Linked DNA regions of Oryzias latipes. The protein of the gene in region 1 purifies or fractionates together with the protein of each later gene. This does not show direct contact. Links are inferred from orthologs where the notes say so. Each region holds a gene or a part of one and is shown on either strand. Other genes may lie near its edges.

Region 1 (3,209 bases):
ACGATTCTATAAGTAAATGTAGAATAACTTCTAAAATAAAACATTTAAGAGAAAGTTCTAATATTCTCGATAGAATTTGTTATGCTGTCTCATGTGTGTCAGAATAAACGAAATCTTTTTTGACCCTTCTCGAACTCCGTTGAACACATATCAGGTCGCAATAACATCTACGGCCGCTAGAGGGAGTATTACTCCAAGCGATTTAAAGCTGAAGATTTACGGAAAGCAGAGCGGTCTGATAGCGGGCTTTGGGGTGTTTGAACACCTTAAATCCATTATTCCAATTTTGACATTTTAATATTTGTGTCCAGCTTCCTTCTTTCCTTTGTAATTATTCAGAATAAAAGAAAAATGTTTTGGAGAAAAAAAGCAACTTTCAGCATTTTCAGTGCTGAAAGTCAGGTTTGTTTGTTTTTTTGCATTTTGCTGAACAGAAACCAAACGCATACTTTGGTTTTCTAAGAGTTTGGAAACTCATTGCATTACTGCATGGCAGGCTGTTACCTTTGTTTTGTTTGTAAACAAAAAACTTCATTCTAAATCTAAGGTAGAAGCAGGAAGTGCATCTTTTGAAGAAATATCCTTAGAAGACACAACCAAATTGGTAATTTTTGTTTTATTATAAAAACAGTATTCGAGTCCAGTTTGTTTCCTTTGTACAGTAAAAAATATTAAATTAAACTCCCAAAGTTCTGAGCAGAAAGATAAAGAGGATGGAGTTTGTAAAGAAGGAGCTCCACGTCCCCCCCAGAGGAGGATATAAAGTTGAGGGAAGCAGCAAAGGGGACGAGGGAGAAAGAGACCGAGTCGGGTGTATTTGTGTGTGTGGGGGGGGGTCTCCTTCTTTCTCCTCGTTTCTGTGCAACACAGTTCATTTGGATCATCATCATCATCATCCTCTGTTTACAGAAAACAGCAGAATCCTAAAAACACTAGAACAAGCCCGCCCCACCCCAGGTATTTAAAATGTTACAGGCACAAAGGTATGCACCCCCCCTCCCCAAAGCTCTACAGCTCCATTTGAAGTGTCTTTAACAGGAAGGAGTGCACACACATTCGAGGGAGGGGGCTTGCATGTTGGAGAGGGCTTCCAAAGATGTGTCCGCCGCCGCCCTTCCGGCGCAGAGCGCACTGCAATCAAACACTGACATCACTCCCAACTCAAGACATCTAAAGTGAAATAACATATACTAACCCCCCCCCCATCTTAACAGTCAATACCAAAAATATATTTCTGTAGGAACTGTAGCAGTCTCCTAGACGCCCACCCCCAGAAGGAAAAGAATAAATAAAACCCAAACATTAGAAAAAGGAAAGAAAAAAAAAAGCATCATGTTTGGATTTGAGGTGAAGCGTAAACAAAAACAAAAAAAGGCCCCAAAGAATAAAATAAAAAAAGGAGCTCAACTGATATAAAGATATTTGCATTAAATCATAATTTTGGACTTTAAAAACCTATAAAAACAGAACAGTTTTTCAAAAGGCAAGTACTTTTTTCACATACCCCCCCTCAAAAAAATAGAATCAACTTTCCTCTGCAGTACACGGGGTGACTTGTGGGATGATATGTGAAAGACCCCCCCCCCCCCATCCCTAATTGGCAAAGAAAACATTTAACAGCAATAAGTTACAATTCATTTTCATTCATTTAACGACTGCTTGATTTCATGTTCATCTCCCATAGGAAGTTCAGTTCAATGCATCTTTATTGAAAACATTTTAAATAACATTTAATAATAGTTTAAAAAAAGCTTAGTAATAACAATAACACTGTCCTGGGTGAGTGCAGTTTGTGCGGATTTCCACTGCCGCTCCGCTCCGCTCCACACGCTGACGACCACCCTACATGTGGTCTAAGGAGCTGTGGCCGATGTTGGGGCCCATTGGGTCCTGACCGCTGCCGCCTGGCCCGTGCAGACCAGCCATGCTGCTCAGCTGGGACAGCATCTCATCCGAGCCGAACGGCTCCATGGCGTTCTGCTGGGCTGCTGGCGGTTGTGGTTGTTGAGGTGCCATCATTCCTGGATGGTGCTGGTTCAGGTGGTTGGGATGAGGAGAGCCCGTCTGCATCTGGGGGGAGATGTGAAGCGGGGAGGGGTGTGGCTGCATGCGTGGGGACGGGCTGGAGTGAGGCGGCTGGGACTGAGGTCTGGGTGAGGGCTGTGGGGACCGGACCTGGTTGGCCAGAGATGTGGACATGCCCTGTCCCTGCAGGTGCGGGTGGGGGGACTGGTTCACCTGTTGAGGCTGCTGGGGGCTCATGGGGTTGGTGTGCTGGGCCGGTGACCCTCCCGGGCCGAGATGCTGCTGCTGCTGCTGCTGCTGATGGAACATCCTTTGGTGCAGAGTCTGTTGAAGCCGGGCTTGAGCGGTTGAAGGTGGGGGTCCAATTTGGGTGGGTTGAGGGACTTGGGGTGCTTGCTGCGGACCACTGATACTCCCTCCACCTGGCCCTACATCACCCCCCATGGCGTTCTGTTGCTGCTGCATCTGGAGGTGGTGCTGGTGCTGCAGTCTCTGCTGCAGTGCAACCGTGGCCTGCTGCTGAGCGACTGATCCGGGGTAACTTGGTGCCTGCTGACCCGGCTGTCCACCGGGCTGCTGAAGGGGTGGCCCCCCAGGAGGCCCCTGCCCCACTGCTGGAGGCTGCATGCCCTGCTGCCCTATGAAGCCCTGCCCCTGGGGGGGCTGTGGCTGTTGGAACTGACTGTGGTTTACTCCCATGTGCTGCTGCTGTTGTTGGTGCTGCTGCTGCTGTTGTTGTTGCTGCTGCTGCTGCAGCTGTTGCTGCTGTTGTTGCTGCTGCAGCTGTTGTTGCTGCAGCTGTTGTTGTTGTTGTTGCTGCTGCTGTAGCTGCTTTCTCATCAGCAACTCTCTAAACTGGGCTCCGTTCAGGTTTCCCATCTGGGGCCCCTGACCCGGCATTCCTCGACCCACGCCTTGCTGCTGCTGCTGCTGTTGTTGCTGCTGCTGGAGAGCTGCAACCTGCTGCTGCTGTAACCCACTGAGCATTGGCCTCTGCTGCTGCTGCAACTGCTGCTGCTGCAACTGCTGAAGCTGCTGCTGCTGCTGCTGCTGGACCTGCTGCAACTGAGCCATGGGGCTCATGTTGACATTTGTTCCTCCTTGACCCCCCATGTGCATTCCCTGCTGACCGGCCCCCACAGGATTCATGCTGCCCTGCTGGCTTCCTCCTGCAATGTTACCCA
Region 2 (3,005 bases), on another chromosome or scaffold:
AAAAGCAGTTGGGATGAATCAGGAGCTGCACATGTGGAAACACTTTGAGCAGAAACAGTTTCCATAAGATCCATAATGAGGCAGGGCTGAGCTCTGATGTGGCTCCTCTCCTCGCCTCCCGTCGGCTCCAGGATTTCACAAAAAAAAAATAAAAAAAATAATAATAAAAAGGGAGCTGCTCCATTTAGCTGTTTCGTCCCTCATTTTGCTTCATCCCTTAAAGAATACCACCCCCCACCCCAAAAAAAAGGAAAAACCACTAACTGGCTGCGGTGAGCTCTTTGCTGGGAGAAGAGTTTAAGGACTATTTTTTTTTTTTTGCCCCCCTCCCACCCGTCGCCTCATGGTGGTTTAGTCCAGCCATGGCGCTCTTATCATAAATCACCAGGCGTCTTCTGTGTCACCATGTCTGCTGTGAGAGGACAGGGGGTGGCGGGGAAGACGAGGGAAGAGGAGGCGAGTTTATGCGCATGGCGGCATTGCAGAGTCTTTTGGCGAGATAGCACATGCTGCCAATTAAAAGCCTTTATGAACCCACTCTGATAAAAAGTGTGTTTAGGTGGTTTTCACATGGTCTTGTGGCACTTTTCTGATGACGGAGAACATATATAAAAATAATCAAGCTTAAAGTTGCATGTCTGAGTAATTGTATTTAAGAAAAAAATTGGTTTGAAAAAGATCGTATTTGTTACGTAGAAAATACGCTAGAAAGAAGCTCCCTGCTCCGCTCCATTCTGATGCATCCACTTGTAGACGATCAGATCCGTGTACGTCTTTGTTTGCCTCGTCCGAGCTGGCATCTGGTGGAAACTGTACAGCTGAAATGTTCCTAGTGGGCGGAAGGGTTTTAAGCTAGCAGGAGAGAATGTAAAAAACAGATGGGTGTCGGGAAGTGGGGGCGGGGTTGCTGTGCATCAACGGTCCAGCTCACAATTTAGATGCAAGTTTCTAATAAACTACTGACGCTCTGCAGAAACTACCATGTTTTTTTGGGTGCAACTTGTATGAGAATTAAAAATAAATAAATAGCAACAACCACTAGAGGGCACTCACTGCAGGTGTTAAAGTATTTGCTACTGAGACCGACGCAGAAGAAGATGCCACGCTGAGTCTTACAGAGTTGTTCCAGTGGCACAGAGGATGAAAATTTCAATGGATTTGAAGTGATATAAAGAGTTTAGTTGACTTGTTAGCTTGTTCTTTATAATGTGGTTATCTTGATAATTGTCCATATGTTGAGCTAATTTACTAGATTCCTCCTTTCGTGAAGCTTTACTGTGGTAGTGAAGCGTGCAGATGTTCCTTTATTATGATTTGCTTTGCAAGATGAAATGTTCCTGTATTTTGTTAAATAGTTTTCTTTCAAAAGTGTGATTTATATATCAATTATATAATGATTTATTGTGCATTTTTTTGGCTGATGCGACTTATACTCCGGTGGGGCCTATAGTCCAAAGAAAATACAGTATGATCTAGAAAATAACACAGGTTTTTTTATTTTAACTTAAAAATGGCATAGATAAAAAAAAAACTGGGGACACTTTCTTTATTCTATTTTTTCATGCCTGTATTTTTATTGGGTCTTGTATATTTTTTGATTAGATTTATAGTATTTACCACTCCAAGGATGCTATGATTTAGTTGTATCATTATGTAGAATGACAATAAAGCATTCTGATTTGAAAATAGACCAAAAGGAGATCGGAGTGGGTTGTTAAAGTTTCCAGCAGATCAATTAAATTCTAATAATAATAGTAATTGTCCCTTGACCGACATTGTTCAGTAAACTCTTGTCTCTTCCTTTACAATGTTGGAGCCACTGTTCATTCTGGAAGGCGGCCTGTGATGACGGGCAAGACCAATGTTTGGAGGTGGGTCTTACAAACATCCCTTCTCGATGAAATGTTATGACTCGACCTGATAAACCGGCACAAGCCGAAGCCTCTTTATCGCAGTGTTTCTGTACGATCTCCAGGAATTTGAGCGGCACTTCCCTCTGGAGGTGCGAGGTGTGCAGCGGGGCCTGTGCACGCTCTCACATGTGCAGCGCCTCGAGAGCAAAGCTCCACACTCGCAGAGATGAAAGCCGAAGGGGAAGACCAAACAAATCAAAGGCTGGCGGAGCAGCTGGCTGGATCTGAAACTCTGTCTGATTCATGGCTGCAACGCCGAATCGCTCCAAGCATGCAGACGTATATAAACATACACAAACAGAGGAGAGGAGAACAGGAAAAAAAAAAAGAGTGATGGAAAAAAAATCGCACATGGCAGAGAGTCAAACAGGTGTACGAAGGAGAAACTTGTCTTGAGCTTTTACAGGAGATTTCAGGAGGAACAAATTGCAACACAGATGCTGCACATATTGCAAGCTACAATGCCTTGAGAAAGTTGTCTATCACTGCAGGACCTTTTAAAGTTTCAAGCCTCTTATTATTTGTGGGCCTGTTATTACTCGTGCTGCTTTGGGATCAAAGGAGTTCTAGAAAAAAAGGAAACATCTAGTTTATTCGCTGAAACGTCATTTGAACTTCTTTGCAGAAACGACTCGTGACTCACAGCTTAAATTAGCTTGCTGGTAAACTTTTTTTTCCCCCTCTTGTAAACGTTTCTGCTTTTGTTTGTCCCCGTGACAACTCGTTTTTCCCCTAACGAGTTGGAGGATTTCTACCTGGCAATCGTCTGGGCACGTCACTGATGGCTGGCAGGCCCGTGCCCCTGCTGGAGGAGAGGGGGGTGGTGGAATGGACTGAGGGGGACGCCATGGGACTCAGGTAGGACGGATACGTCTGTTCGTATGACCAGGGAGGAGAGGACTGGGACTGACGAGGGTCTAGTGGGGAGAAATGGAGGGAGAGAAGAAAGAGAAAAAAAAGGACAGAGAATGAAAGACAGAATCATCACAGGTCGACTCATCCAGAGGCTCCACATGTTGGTGCTAAATCATCACTAAAACATCTGTAGGGACAAATGGAGGGTTTGACTGTAAACAGATCTACCTGTTTGCC

What was found. The genes of interacting proteins can lie anywhere in the genome.
Region 2: the proteins of histone acetyltransferase p300 (region 1) and runx2 purify together in Homo sapiens (affinity purification with western blotting; 4 studies listed by BioGRID). This does not show direct contact. The link is inferred for Oryzias latipes from reciprocal best matches to the Homo sapiens genes EP300 and RUNX2.

Annotation. Positions count from the first base shown.
Region 1 is NC_019866.2:19,344,772-19,347,980, forward strand, and holds the end of histone acetyltransferase p300, read right to left. Parts: coding exon 1,843-3,209; 3' UTR 598-1,842; downstream 1-597. UniProt on the Homo sapiens protein: Functions as a histone acetyltransferase and regulates transcription via chromatin remodeling. Acetylates all four core histones in nucleosomes. Histone acetylation gives an epigenetic tag for transcriptional activation.
Region 2 is NC_019882.2:3,176,174-3,179,178, reverse strand, and holds part of runx2 (runt-related transcription factor 2), read right to left. Parts: intron 2,831-3,005; coding exon 2,669-2,830; intron 1-2,668. UniProt on the Homo sapiens protein: Transcription factor involved in osteoblastic differentiation and skeletal morphogenesis. Essential for the maturation of osteoblasts and both intramembranous and endochondral ossification.